Pelodiscus sinensis: one gene and its partner. The protein of the gene in region 2 interacts with the protein of the main gene of each other region in a pairwise test. Links are inferred from orthologs where the notes say so. Each region holds a gene or a part of one and is shown on either strand. Other genes may lie near its edges.

What was found. The genes of interacting proteins can lie anywhere in the genome.
Region 1: the proteins of SDCBP2 (region 2) and PRR13 interact in binary tests that used the Homo sapiens proteins (3 or more experiments, as listed by UniProt). The two-hybrid records come from large-scale screens. The link is inferred for Pelodiscus sinensis from reciprocal best matches to the Homo sapiens genes SDCBP2 and PRR13.

The regions. Positions count from the first base shown.
Region 1 is NC_134729.1:335,775-343,568, forward strand, and holds the start of PRR13 (proline-rich protein 13), read left to right. Parts: upstream 1-4,759; 5' UTR 4,760-4,872; intron 4,873-7,301; 5' UTR 7,302-7,328; coding exon 7,329-7,347; intron 7,348-7,794. Other genes in the region: AMHR2 (anti-Muellerian hormone type-2 receptor), read left to right, coding at 548-684, 982-1,170. UniProt on the Homo sapiens protein: Negatively regulates TSP1 expression at the level of transcription. This down-regulation was shown to reduce taxane-induced apoptosis.
Region 2 is NC_134728.1:2,655,370-2,662,370, reverse strand, and holds the start of SDCBP2 (syntenin-2), read left to right. Parts: upstream 1-3,955; 5' UTR 3,956-4,191; intron 4,192-7,001.

The DNA.
Region 1 (7,794 bases), on a different chromosome or scaffold from region 2:
AAATCAACGGGCTGGGAACGCTGCCACCTGGTGGAGGTTTGAAGAAATCTCTCTCCTCTCTCTGCGGGGGGGGGAGGGGGCTGCACATCCCTGCACTCCGGATACAGGGCCCTGATTCTCATTGACCCCCTTCCTGCTCGGGACAGGCCTGTGCTCCCTGCAGTCTGGGCCCAGTCCCCCCCCCAGCGCTGGTGCAGCCTTGGGGCTGCTCTGACTCACTCCCTGCTCCCCTGAGCCCTGGGAGGCAGGGAGCAGAGACCTCACGCCAGCCCCGCACCAACAGCGGGGGGGGGAGACTCTCCAGGGGCCCCCCTGCCTCCCCAGGACGGCCCCTCAGTGTGGCCAGTGCATGCCGAGAACCAGGGCCTTTGGCTCTAAGGAGAATCCCTATTAGCTGGCAGCAGTAGTTGGGCTTTTATCCGCTCTGCTGGCTGGTCGCTTGAGGGTGACGCACTCACACTGAGCCAGGGGCTAGTACCCAGGGCGTCGTGGGGCAGGGCTGGCAGGAGCCATTTCACCCCATGTGCCCCATTTTCTCCTCCCCCAGACTGCGGGGCCCCCCCCTTCCAGCTGGCCTACGAGGCGGAGCTGGGCAGCAGCCCCACGTATGACGAGCTGCGGCGCCTGGCAGTGGAGGAGAGGAGGCGGCCAGCCATCCCCGACGCCTGGAGGCGGGCAGGCCAGGTGCTGGGGCTTGGGGGGGGCAGGGACAATGGGGACGGGGAGGGGGACACGAGTGGGCAGGGATGAGGGAGGGAGGACGCTGCCCATTTAAAGGGCCGGCGCCCAATACGTCTCTGTAGCGTCACTCCCCCAGCTCAAGACCCTTTGGTGACCCGCCCCCGGCTTTCCAGTCCTGCCCTCAGGCCACGGGTGGGGGGGGTCTTGTCTCTGCTGTGGGAGGTTACCTTGCGGGCGACTCCACCAGCCAGGCCTGCCCAGGCCCTGAGAGACCCCCTCTGCTCTCCTCTCCTGCCCCAGGTCTCCGTCGGCCTGCGGGAGCTGCTGGAGGACTGCTGGGACCCCGATCCCGAGGCCCGGCTGACGGCAGAGTGCACCCGCCAGCGGCTCCAGAGCCTGGGGGCTGAGTGGTCAGCAGGGGGCGCTGAGCTGGCCAAGGTGCTGCCCCCGGGACACGGTGCCTGGGAACGGTCCCTGGGCTGGTGCTGACGGAGGAAGAGGGACGTGGGGGGCAGGGACAGCGAAGTGCCCCCGGCTGCTCCACGCCCGGCTCCTGTTGTCCAGACCCCCCCCCCATCACCCCTGCTGGATGGGATCGGCGCTGCCTGAGCAGGCTGCCCCCTAGTGGAGCTGACACGACTCTTCTCCATCCCCCGGGTGCCCATCCGGCCAGTGAGCCGGCCTGCAGGCCACCTGGCCAGAAGCTATGGCCGTGGGCGTGTGCCCCACATCAAAGGGTCGAGCCCCCGTGCGGCTTAGCCACAGATTTCTGTGTGGTCGGCTCTTATCTTCATTGAATCGTGTCCTGTCTTCCGGGTCCAGGCCTCAGGGTGGCTCTCACTTACACGCCGCTCCCTTGGGCCCTGGGAGGCAGCCACTCCCGTACCACAGTATGGTGCTTTGGCCAGGCTCCTGATCTTCCTGGCTCTGGGCTGTGGGGTTGACACTCAGGAAGCGGGACTGACTGCTCCCTGAGCCCCAAAGTGCTTGCAGTGATGGCCACTGGGTGGGAAGGGAAACTGAGGCACCGAGCAGCAAAGCCCCTTGCCGCCATGCAGCTGAGCCTGAAGCCTAGTCTACTAAGAACATGAGAGCGGCCAGACGGGGTCAGACCAAAGGTCCATCCAGCCCCGTGTCCTGTCTGCCCCCAGTGGCCAATGCCAGGTGCCCCAGAGGGAGTGAACCGAACAGGCAATGATCAAGCGACCTCTCTCCTGCCATCCATCTCCACCCTCTGACACACAGAGCCTAGCGACACCATTCCTTACCCAGCCTGGCTAGTAGCCATTAATGGACCTAACATCCATGAATGTATCTAGTTCTCTTTTAAACCCTGTTTAGTCCTGGCCTTCACAACCTCCTCAGGCAGGGAGTTCCACAGGTTGACAATGCACTGTGTGAAGAAGAACTTCCTTGTATTTGTTTTAAACCTGCTGCCCATTAGTTTCATTTGGTGGCCCCTAGTTCTTATGTGATGGGAACAAGTAAATAACTTTTCCTTATTCACTTTCTCCACACCACTCAGGATTTTATAGACCTCGATCCTACCTCCTCTTAGTCTCCTCTTTTCCAAGCTGAAAAGTCCCAGTCTCTTTAATCTCTCCTCCTATGAGACCCGTTCCAAACCCCTCATCATTTTAGTTGCCCTTCTCTGAACCTTTTCTAATGCCAGTCTATCTTTTTTGAGGTGAGGAGACCACATCTGTACACAGTATTCAAGATGTGGGCGTCCCATGGATTTATATAGGGCCATAAGATATTCTCCGTCTTATTCTCTATCCCTTTTTAAATGATTCCTAACACCCTGTTTGCTTTTTTGACTGCCGCTGCTCACTGCGTGGACGTCTTCAAAGAACTGTCCACGATGACTCCAAGATCTCTTTCCTGATTAGTTGTAGCCAAATTAGCCCCCATCATATTGTATTATATATTGGGGTTATTTTTTCCAGTGTGCATTACTTTACATTTCTCCACATTAAATTTCATTTGCCATTGTGTTGCCCAGTCACTTAGTTTGGTGAGATCTTTTTGAAGTTGACGGGCGAGCTAAGACGGGCCCGCGGGCTCCCCTGGTGTCAGGGGATGTGGGGCCTGGAGCCCGTCTGATCCACTGCCGCAGGATGCGCATAGATCGGTGTTGCCCCCTTTAGCCTTGTCTGCGCCTCCTCAGTGCTGGGGCCAGGACTGAGCTGGGGGGATCAGGGGTCAAGTGGCGGCAGAGACAGAGGGGGTGGAGGCAGGACTAGAGGCGGAGTCAGTAGGGACTGGGTGTCACTCTCCCCCTTCCCCCCCACTCCGGGGTGACTCCTGAGGATCCGCTGGGGCCCTCGCACGTCGCAGGGCTAGCTCTGGGCTCTGCTACCTCCCCCTTAGTTCCCCGGGCGGGTTGCCTTGCAGTTTGGGGTCCTCTTGCCTAGTTTCTCAGGCCCAAAGGCCCACCTGTGATCGTCTCAGCTGCCTGCCCACCACCGGCCGGCACGGCCCTGAGTTACCTCCCACCTGGAGCAGCGGGGCCGTTAGGAAATCGTCCCCTCACGTTAACTCTGCCCCTGGTGAGGAGCCCCCCACGACGCAGGCCCCTGTTAGGCCCTCGCCTGCCCTATCGGCCCCGAGCCTCAGCCTGAAATCCCCCCTCCAGCCGTCCCTTGGCTGCACAGCCAGCCCCAGCTCCGGAGTCTCTGTCCAGAAGGCCGGTCCCCCCACAGCGTCCAGGAGGCTGGTCCCTGCAGCCGGGCGGAGCGTCAGGACTGTGGGGGGTGGAGAGTGGGGGGCGCAGGACTCAGGGCTGCTTTCCAGAGCTCAGCCCCACAGGAATCCAGCCCGTAATTTCTCCAGCACTGCGAACCTCTTACCAGCGGGAGCCAGAGCCCCTAGGGAGCTCAGCGTCCCTTCCAGGCCAGGGTTTACAGCGGTCCCGTCTCAGAAACCTCAGGGTCAGTCTGTGTCTATAACACAGCCATTACAGCTGGGTCCTGCCCTCCCCTGCCCACTAGGGCCCACTCCCCTTCGTGGGCCAGGGAGAGAACCCAGGAGTCCTGCCGCCCAGTCATCTGCTCCAGCCAGCCTGCAAACAGCCCAATGACTAAAACTTTTCCAGTTTTCCCCAGAGATTCCTCCACATCCCTCCCCCCCCCCGTAGGCCCAGCGCCCCGCTGCCCAATATCCTGGGCAGAGCAGGCTCCTTAAGGCCCTGGGTGCGGCTGCCAGGTGAGCCTGGCTTTCCCGCAGCGGCGTCAGAGCTGTGTGACTGGGCTGCGTTCCAGGACCGGCCTGTGCCCTTGGGACACACCCACGGCTCGATACTGACGAATCTCTCCAGGCCAGGCCCTGGTGCCAGTGTGTGTTGGGGGCAGGGCTGTCCCAGAGGGGTGCCCCCTAAGCTTTGTCTCCCACCGATTCGCTCCTGCACCTCGCAGAGCCTCTGGGCAGCTTCATGGGCTGATGAAGAGCACAAAGGTGAGGGCTAGCGGGGGGAGGTCTCTGCCCCACCCCTGTTGTCACCGCTTCCCATCTGGGCGCCGGACACGTCAGCAGGTTTTATCCTCCCGCCCCGTGGGACATGAGCCTCATTTATGGGTGGGGAAACTGAGGCCCAGGGCGGACTCTATGGCTTGCCCCAGGTCACCCGGGACGAACGTGGCGGAGGCAAGACTGTGCTCCAGATCTTCAGGCTGGTGGCCCACCCTTCCTCCTGCGCAGGGTGGATTTCCAGTGTGAGACGGGAGCCCGAATATTTCTTCGCCACCTCCTCTCTGAGGCACCTCTCCAGCATTAGCGGGTGAACCTCCCGAGCGTCGTCCGCCCCCCGCCCTGCCGTGCCCTGCTCCCACGGTGGAGGGGCGATGGTACCCCTGGCGGGGAAACTGAGGCACAGCCACCCGCAAACCCCTCAGACGCTGCGGCTGCTGCTCCCGGAGTTTGCCCCGCGCCCCCGAGGCCGGGCCAGGCGACCCCCGGGAGACTCCAGCAGCCTGAGGCCCGAGCCCATCGCTAACCGCTAGGGCGCGCTGCCCTGCCGCCCCCCCACCCCTCGGGGTAGAACCCAGGAGTCCGGGCCTGGCCCCGCCCCCTCCCGCTGCCTGCCCGCGGGGGGCGGGGCCACCGGGCGGTGACGGACAGTCACGGGGGGCGGGGCCACCGCGCTCCAGGAAGCCGGCGGGGCTCAGCTGGGCAGCGCGGTGCCGAGTCGAGGTGAGTGAGGGGGGGCGGGTGTCTGTGTGTCCCCCCCCCACTGTGCCCCCCTGCACCTCCCGTCCCCTTCCCCCCGTGCCCCCCTGCACCTCCCGTCCCCCCCCCGTGCCCCCCTGCACCCCCCCTCCCCCCTCTGTGCCCCCTGCACCCCCCGTCCCCTCCCCCCTCTGTGCCCCCTGCACCGTGCCCCCCTGCACCCCCCGTCCCCTCCCCCCTCTGTGCCCCCTGCACCCCCCCGTCCCCTCCCCCCCGTGTCTCCCTGCACCCCCCCGTCCCCTCCCCCCTGTGTCCCCCTGCACCTCCCGTCCCCTCCCCCCTCTGTGCCCCCTGCACCGTGCCCCCCTGCACCCCCCGTCCCCTCCCCCCCTGTGTCCCCCTGCACCTCCCGTCCCCTCCCCCCTCTGTGCCCCCTGCACCGTGCCCCCCTGCACCCCCCGTCCCCTCCCCCTCCCCCCTCTGTCCCCCTGCACCCCCCCGTCCCCTCCCCCCTGTGTCCCCCCTCCCCCCCCGCCCGTCCCTGTGTGTACGCGTATCCCCTGCCCTGCCAGTCAGGACCCATCCAGCCCTTCCCCCCCCCCTAACTCCTGCGCCCCAGAGCCGACTCTCCTCTGCTGTAGGCGGCTAGATCGGTTCGGCTCCGGCGTGGCCCCCCCGGGCTGTGGGTGCGCACCGCGTTGCTGAGCCCCGGCCCCGCTTGCAGAGCGCCACGGGCGGGGCGCTCCGCCTGCCCTTGGACCCTGCGCGGGCGGGGCGGCCGGTTCCGCTTGGCTCGGGGCGGCTCCTGTGCAGAGGGCGGGGGCTGGGAACGGGGGGGGGAATTGCAAAGCGCTGTCCCCTGAATGGACCCCCCCCGGCCCGGGGGGGCTGACACCGAACTGCCCCTGCTCGGGGGGGGGCTGACACTGAACTGCCCCTGCTGGGGGGGGGGGCTGACACCGAACTGCCCCTGCTTGGGGGGGCCTGACACTGAACTGCCCCTGCTCGGGGGGCGGGCGGGGCTGACACTGAACTGCCCCTGCTGGGGGGGCGGGGGGGGCTGACACTGAACTGCCCCTGCTGGGGGATGGCGGGGGGGGGCTGACACCGAACTGCCCCTGCTCGGGGGGGCGGCGGGGGGGGCTGACACTGAACTGCCCCTGCTGGGGGGGGGCTGACACTGAACTGCCCCTGCTGGGGGGGGGCGGCGGGGGGCTGACACTGAACTGCCCCTGCTGGGGGGGGCGGGGGGGGCTGACACTGAACTGCCCCTGCTCGGGGGGCGGGGGGGGCTGACACTGAACTGCCCCTGCTGGGGGGGGCGGGGGGGGGCTGACACTGAACTGCCCCTGCTGCGGGGGGCGGGGGGAGCTGACACTGAACTGCCCCTGCTCGGGGGGGTGGAGGGGAGCTGACACTGAACTGCCCCTGCTGGGGGGCGGGGGGGGGCTGACACTGAACTGCCCCTGCTGGGGGGCGGGGGGGGGGGCTGACACTGAACTGCCCCTGCTGGGGGGCGGGGGGGGGCTGACACCGAACTGCCCCTGCTGGGGGGGGCGGGGGGGGGCTGACACCGAACTGCCCCTGCTGGGGGGGGCGGGGGGGGCTGACACCGAACTGCCCCTGCTCGGGGGGGGCGGGGGGGGGCTGACACCGAACTGCCCCTGCTGGGGGGGCGGGGGGGGGCTGACACCGAACTGCCCCTGCTGGGGGGCGGGGGGGGGCTGACACCGAACTGCCCCTGCTCGGGGGGGCGGGGGGGGGCTGACACCGAACTGCCCCTGCTCGGGGGGGCGGGGGGGGCTGACACCGAACTGCCCCTGCTCGGGGGGGCGGGGGGGGCTGACACCGAACTGCCCCTGCTCGGGGGGGCGGGGGGGGGCTGACACCGAACTGCCCCTGCTGGGGGGCGGGGGGGGCTGACACCGAACTGCCCCTGCTCGGGGGGGCGGGGGGGGCTGACACTGAACTGCCCCTGCTGGGGGGGGCGGGGGGGGGCTGACACTGAACTGCCCCTGCTGGGGGGGGCGGGGGGGGGCTGACACTGAACTTCCGCCGGCTCCGAGCCCCCAGGCCACGTTGTCCGACCCGGGGCTGGGGCTCCAGGGGAGAAAGCGGCAGCTGCTGCCTCCTGCCGGTCGCCCCTGTGCCTGGGGCCCGCGGGGCGGGAGGGGACCAGGGCCCTGACCCCCCCGTGGCGGCCGTGGGGCCGGTGGCTGAGCGCTGCGCTAGCAGACCCCTGCCAGGGGACCTGGGGCAAATCGCTGCCCCTCTCCGGACTCCCCTTCCGCCCTTTGTTGCCAGGGCTGGACCCCCAGGCTGTGTTGCCAGCGGGGCGCCCGGGTCTAGGCAGGCAGCAGCCTCAAGGGTGGGCCCTGATCTCCTTTAGGGCCCCCCCCTGCCCGAGGCCTGGCTGACCCCCGCTTTGCCTCACAGCCTCTCTCCCCCTCCAGGTGACCGGAGACGCCTCCTCTCTGAGCATGTGGGATCCCAACGCAGGTGAGGGGTGCTGGGCGCGCTGGCGGGGTTCTCCGCTGCTCCTCTGGCCTCCCCTCTGACGCTCGCCTGCTCTCTGCCCCAGCAGGGCCCCTCCAAAGCGGCAGGTTTGGCGCTCGCCCGGCGCGGCGTGGCTGCTCCCTGGGAAGGGGGCTGGGGGCAGATTCGGCAGGACGCTGCAGAGTGCAAGGGGGAAGATTCCCGCTCCTGAGCTGGTCTTTTCCCGTGACCCTCTGAGGAGCGGCCCCCGGCTGTGGAGTGAAACAGGATTAGCTGCCCAGGCCGCAGGGATCCCCCCAAGGGCCGGGGCTCTCACGGTGAAAAGGCTGCTCTCCTAGCTGCACCAGGCCGTCACTCCGCCTCCGTCCGCTTGCCGGGAGTTTGCGTAACTCTCTCCCCGAGGGCTCCCGGGCCACCCTGGCGGCTGCAGCCGGTCGCCCTAGCGCCGTG
Region 2 (7,001 bases):
CTGGATGCAAAGGGCTCGTGGAATCTGTACTTTGGCTGCGACGCGGGCTGCTGCGGGGAAGGCCTGTGACCGCTCACCTGGTGGTATCAGACCCAGATGCCCATCCCCATCTCCAGAGCCAGGCTGGAGCATCATGCAGACTCCTGGGCCCTGTTCTTAACTCGGCCGCGGATGTCTGTGCAGCCGGCGGCGGCTCAGTTTTGCCACCTGTAGAATGGGTTTAGTCGTGCTGCCTTCCCCGGGGGTGGCGAGGCTTAATTAACTTTTGGGATGTGCCACTGACAGGGAGCTGGACACAGTTGTGTTCAGTGCCAGGGACAATGCACAGAGCCACAAGAAAGACCTCGCTACATTCTTGCACCCTCCGCCCCCACCCGCGACTGTACAAAGCTACTCTGTTAGGGAACGCCAGTACCAAGGGGCAGGCAAACCGTGAAGCCGGTAGCTGTTCCACAGTCAAGCGTGGGTGTTGTCAGATCCTGCCTCCCGCCCCTCCCCCCCCCCCCCCCCCCCCCCGTCCAGCCCCAAGGAACCCATTTGCGGCGATGCACTGGAGCTTAGCAGGAACAGCAGGCGCCTGTGTCCTGCAAATGGAAAGAAAACAGGGTAGGAGACTCCCTGGCCGGAAAAGCGAGCCCAGGCCTGCGCTTGTAGCCTAACCACTATCCTGTCCTGCTGCATCAGTGTCAGGGTGTCAGACCGACCCTGTGCCCAAGGATCCCCTAAGCTTTGCAAACAACTCTCAGCTCAGCCCCGAGCACGTCTGGCTGGCTAGTCAGCCAGGGAGTCACTGCAGAAAGGGCTGCAGGTCGCGTGCGCGGATAAGACTGAGGGGCTGCAGGTCGGACTCCCTGCTCCAGCACCCTCGGCACCTGGCTGGTCCCGGAGGAGGGATTTTGCCGGGCCAAGAGAGGTCAATTCTGGCCCAGCTGCCAACCTGCCGCCTCCGCCACGCCCTGAACTGGCCGATCCTGCCCTGAACTGGCCGATCCCGCCCTGCTGGGTTCCTGGCCAATGACCTGCTCAGGCTGCTAGTGGCTGCTGGCCCGGGACTGCCACCGGCTCCAGTCCAGGCTGCCCCACAGCTGCTGCCAAACCTGCCCCATGGCTGCCACCACCTGCCCCGCTGCCCTGCGGCCTGGCTCCCGGCCAGTCCCTCCCGCTGGCTGAGTCCCCTCCATTGGGGCTGCCTGGCCTAGGAACAGCTGTGGGGTCCTGCCAGGGAGTTGCCAGACCAGAGCATCCCGGTTTTCAGAGGTTCTGCCAGGCCTGTCGTTCTATTGAGACTGTGCTGTCTGGGGGTAGCAGAGAGTCCCTGGGGACGACGTGTCTCCGCGCCGGCCCATTCGGGTAGGGTGTTGGTCTCACCTTTGTGTGGCCTTGCGCAATATGTTGGCAAAACCCCATCTGTGGCAATGGCAAACACGCAAAGCCAGGGGGCAGGTGATAAAGGAAACACAACAAGCCGCGGGCGTGTCAGCGTAAGCCAGCGGAGGACGGGCTCCCTGTCTCCTTTCACTCAGGAGCCCGTTGGGGGGCAGGGCAGTTTTCTTGAGCTTTTGGGCGCTGGCTCCTGGGAAGCCAGGCTGCTCAGCAGCAAACGGTATTGGGGGGCACCTGCCTTGTTAGCTAGGAAAGGGGTCCCAGGAGCGTCAGGCCAGGCTGGTCTGTTCTTTTGAATCGTAGCCAGTGGCGTGCACCAGCCTCTTAGTTTTGGTTGAAGGTTTCTCTTCCCATAACGCAGCCCCCGGGGGTGTCATTGCAAGGGCTCCCCAGGGCTCCGCACAGGGACTGGGATCTCAGGCAGACGCTGGGTGCTCAGGCCCTTTGGAGGCAGAGGAGCTGGGATTTCTGGGCGTGGCCAGGGTGAGGGGCTGGGATGTCCCAGGGAGACGCGGCAAAGGGACTCCGGGTGCAAATTGTTGATCTGCAAGGCGAGCCTGGGATGGCCCAGAAGAGGTGGTTGGCTGACAGGCTGCTGGCGGCAGGTTCTGCCACCCAGCCAGCGGGGCTGACAGCCGCCATGGGCCCCTAAATAAGGTGGAGGGCTCGGCTCTCCCAGAAAGGGGCGGGGCCTCAGGTGGAAGGGGCGGGGCTGAGGCAGCCAGCTCGCTGCAGTCCCCGCCCCATCCACATTGTGCCAATGACTTAACCAAGAACCCTGGGCCCCTTTGAATTGCCGCCCCCCTCGCCCCCCCCCTTGGCCAGCCTGCACCCCGCCAAGCCCAAGCAAGGCTCCCATCAGCTGGCGTAACACGGTGACTCGCAGCCCCTCACCGTGGCCATGCAGCACTGAGCATTGCAAACACCCTGTCGTCATGGGGTCTCCAGGGTCACCTGGCCCCTGGCTGCAGACGGGGCCCTTTCAAGCCAATGGAATTGGCCGGGCCGGTCTCCCCTTCAGCGGCCCAGGCAGTGCCAGTATTAACAGCCCCTGGCTGTGTCCGTATCCTGCACCCCTGGACCAAGCGCCACATGAGCTCTCCTCTCATCCGGGGGGCGGAGGCTCCGATCGCCATGCTGGCCAAGCTTGTGGGTCTGGTTGCCGCTGGGGCCCAGGCTGTGCGATGTGCTAGCCAACGCCGGGCAGCGGTTGCCAGCGGCAACCAGGCTCTCAGGGAGGACCAAGGCCTCGCAGCAGCTTTGAATTTGTCCCAGAGGGTCACACGGCGGCGGGAGGGATTCGTAGCGGACTGGGCTGAGGCGAGGGAACGATGGGCAGGAGCAGCGACCCCAGCCTGCAGCTGGGAGGTGACATACTCAAGGCCACAAGGCAGAGAGCAGAGCCGGGAGTCAGCCCTGGTCCCTGCTCTGTATCCTCACCCGCTAGGCCGCGCTGCCCCTGTGCTTGATGTTGACCTTGCAGATAGGACGGGGGGGGGATTTTTTGGGGTGGGAGGCCTCTGTTCCACAGGAAAATCAGTCAGGGGCTGCACACAAGTGAGAAGGAAAAACCCCTCACCTGCAACTGAAAGACCCTCCTCACGCTCCCCTCACACACAGCTGGCAGGGGGGCAGGCTAGTAGATTTTTGTGCCCCCCCATAGGCTCTGGGGTGGGGGCCAAAACAGGGAGGGGTTCAATGTGTGTGTGTGTGGGGGGGGCTGCTGGGAAGCGCATGTGGAGTGTGGTGCCTGAGTGGGAAGGTGCAGGAGCAGGCTGAGCAGGGAAGGTGGGGGGCAGGAGCAGAGTGGGGGCTGAGGATGTGGGGGGGGAGGAGGGTGCAGGAGCAGGCTGGGCATTGGGAGGGGGGGTGGTCTGTGCTGCCATTTCCCCAGCCCAGGGGAGGGGGAGGGGCAGCGCTTGGAGCCACTTCCTCCCCCTGCCAGGCAGAGTCTGAGGGCTGGACCCAGCTCCAGGCTTGCCTGACTCCAGCGAGGCTCGGGGCAACGAGGCTGCAGGGCTGGAGTGCCAGCACCGGCTCCCCAATGCTGCAAGGGTGCCGGGAGAGCTGGCTCCAGACAAGTCGAGGGCTGGATCCAGCTCCTAGCCTTAGGTTCCCCACCCCGAGCTCAGGGAAGCCGTTCTCCAGTTTAGAACCTGCCTCCCATCTACACCCTGAGCCCCTGGGCCATTTTCGGGCCAGTGACCCGCATGCTAGGAGCGATGGTGGAAACGATGCCCCCAAGAGGCGGGGACTCCAGATGCCTGCGCAGAGCAGCCTGAGGCGCAGATGCCCTGCTTCACAGACTTTGGGCATGGGTGATCCTAGCCAGTGCTTATTTTGTTTAAAAAAAAAAAGTGCCAGTACTCCAGTTGTTGAGCAAAAAAAAAAGATGGGGTGGGGCCGGCCTTGCCCTTTTAAGACAAGCAGCCCCTTTAAGACACACGGCCCAGCCGACTGTCGAACATTTGCCTGTAGAGAGGTGCTGGTATGCTTATGCTCTGTTCTTTCCAGGTAAGCGCTGACTGGAGGTTCCAGTACAGTGTCCTGGGCAGTACCGTCACAAAAAAACCCCTGATCCTAGCACCTTTCGCCAACATTGAGCCTGGATGGAGGAAGACTTCCTCTCTCTCTCCGGCACCTGCCTGTTCCCTGGGCTGCCGAATTCCAATCTGCTGACGGCCAGGTCAGCTGATAGGGCGAGGCCCCGCCCAGACAGGCAGCACCTGCTCTTATAAAGTCACCGGCCCGTGGGAGAGGCAGGTAGAGCGTGCAGGAGAAGACACCTGCTCCGGAGCTGTCCCACAGGTAAGGAGGGATGCCCCTTCTGCATGGCTGTGGGTGGGATGTGTGAAGTGTCACCCTGCTTCCCCCACTCCACTTCCCCTTCTTTGGGGTGTTTGGCGTCCGCAGGGTTGGGAATCAAATCCTGGGGCGTGTGATGGGCTCCAAGTCAGCCCAGTTAGTCGTAGTATCCCAGGGCTGGAAGGGGCCTCAGGAGTCCTCGAGTCCAGCCCCCCGCCCATAGCAGGACCAGCCCCATCGAAATCATCCCAGGTCTGCATTCGACTCTGGGAGAGGCTGGTCCTCCTTGCTGGGCTGCTCCGCCCTGTGCTGTTTGGCCAGGGGGTGGGTGGCAGGGGCGGGAGGGGACACCGGCTGTTGATTTTTTAAATTGGGCTTTCGCTTGTTGTAACTGAGCACATGATAGGCCCAGGTTCTGATCCCTGGCAGCAGCATTTCCACTGGGACCAGGGTGACCCCCAGGTACCCACTTCACAACAGGATGGGGGCCAGTTTTTCCAAAGGGGGCATCGCCTGGGGTGCACACCGGCTGCTGAGAGCCTCGGGGCCCCGCCGTGGGCCCTGGGCACTGACACCTCTGGAGACAGGTTCCCCGCTAATGCAAATTGTCCAAGGCCCATGGAGTCCAGCTGGGCTCTGACGATTTCCACACCCCTTTGCCCCAGAGGGCGACGTTGCTGTGGAGCCTGGGGGCTCGTGGGAAGGGAGCGCTGCTCCCCGTGTTGGGAAATCGCTCTGGGATCTGCTTCGCTTTGTGGCCGTCCTGGCGCGTCCGAATCGGGCGGAGAGATGCTAGGACGCGGTGGGAGTGGGGGGGTTCCGCTACATTTTCCATCCGCTGGGGAGTCACCCGGTTCTGCTCCCTCGGGAGTCACCCGGTCACTGACTTGACTGCACCCTGGCTGGGTCCCAAAGTTTCTGGGCTGGGGAAGGCCATGACATTTGCCCAGCTGAGGTTGGGGGCTAGTTTCCATATGCCCGGCACTGCCTGTCTCGCTACCTCTGAACTCCTGGGCACTGGGGCAGGTGCCGAGGCAGGGCGGAGTGGGGGGCCCCCAGACCCAAGGTGATGCTATTTCTCTTGACTGCGGCTGGCCTCTGGCATGTGCTCCTGTTTTGAGATCCTGCACGTAGAATCCTGGCATTGACTCCACCGTTCCCGGCAAGCCTGATCTCGGGGGGTCGTGTTCTCGGAGCTAAGCTCTGTTTCCCTGCCTGCCTTTGCAACCCGCAGCCCTGCCAGTGGGGAAACAGACGGCCAGGGCTCCGGAACACCGTCTAGTTGGCTCTGACTAATCCTGACTTGAGCAATCCCCCCCCCCCCACACACACACACACAGAGCCGTCGCGGGTCGGACCGTGGCTGGCTGACGACAGCGTGACATGAGCTGGGCTGGGCCAGTCTTTGCTATCAGATCAGCTGTTTCCTAAGGACGTGGGTGGGAAGAGAGCCACCTCCTGCCTCTCTGGGGTGTTTAACACCAGGCTGGACAGATCCAGGGGGCAGGGCCCCTGGCTCAGATCCACGCTTCAGTGGAAGCTAGGCGTCTGGCTCACGTCCCTGCCTCCTACGCTAGTTTCAGAACGTGCCAGAGGCCAGATTCTTCCCCGGCGTAACTTGGAAAGCTGCCCTCCTTTGCACCCGCTGGGAACTGGCCGCACTCTGCAGGGGAGGTTCAGGCCAGCCCGCAGGAAGGGCAACAAGTAAAGCTACACGGCTGAGTCAAGCAGGGTCTTGTGTCTTCCACCTTCCCTGCTCGGTTTCCCAGCACTCCAGCTGCAGGTCCCGGGAGTCCGGCCTGGGGTCCGCCGGCAGGAGTAGGCCTCAGTCGCAGGAGAGGAGGATCCCATTTGATCTCGGTGCCACTGGAGTCTGGGCCCCTCTGTCAGTGTCGCGGGGAGGGCCCTGATGCAGCACACAGCTGGTTTTGTGGGGTTCTCTGTGGGTGGGACGCAGCCGTCGGGGGGCTCTGGTCTGACAGCTCTGCCCAGAGAGACACCCGCCGGGCTCGCAGCAGCGTGTGCTTTGCCGTCAGACCGGGACTTGCCATGAAACTGCGCTATGGCCAGTGCCGGTGTCCCTGGAGGGCCACCCACCGCCCCAGTCCGGCTGCCGGCACAGGAATCCTTGCAGCCCTGAAGGGCTGTCTGTACCCTCCCCCAAGTCCAGCCCCTGCTCCACCCCCACCCTCTTCCCACCCCTGCTGTGCCCTCTCCCTCCCCCAATAGCATCCCTTTCCGCAAACTCCTCCCCCATCAGACGCAGCCTCTGGTGGCCTGGCAGGGGGACAGCTGGGGTCAGCCCCTGCTCCCCCACACTGCGGTGGTGGGAGCCGTGGGGAAGTGGAGTGATGCAGCAGCCTCCCGGGCTAACCTGTGTATGGGACCCATCCTGTCCCCAGGTTGGGTGGGGCAGCCGGGTGGGGTGGGGTGTGGCCACTGTGGGGCCTGAGCCGGCCACGCTGAGCCATCCCATGGGTGGGGCAGCTCTGCGTCCCCTGCATCCCCCACGTGCCAGGAGCGACACGGAGCTCGCAGCAAGAACTGTCTCTAGCCCCATGGACTGCCAGTGCTGGGGGAGAAGGGGGCACAGACAGGGCTGGGGGACACGCGGGGTGCGGGAAGAGCGCAGGCTGGCAGGCAGGGCTGGGAGACAGGTGTGTGTGGGACATCCTCCCCGCCTCCCAGAGCCATTGCCGGAGTTGGGGGGAGGTGGCCCACGAGAACCTGAGAAATGGCCCTGAGATGAATTGTTTGAGACCCCTGCTGTAGCTCTCCCATTTGTGCCTTAGGCAGAGCGGAGGACGACCAGC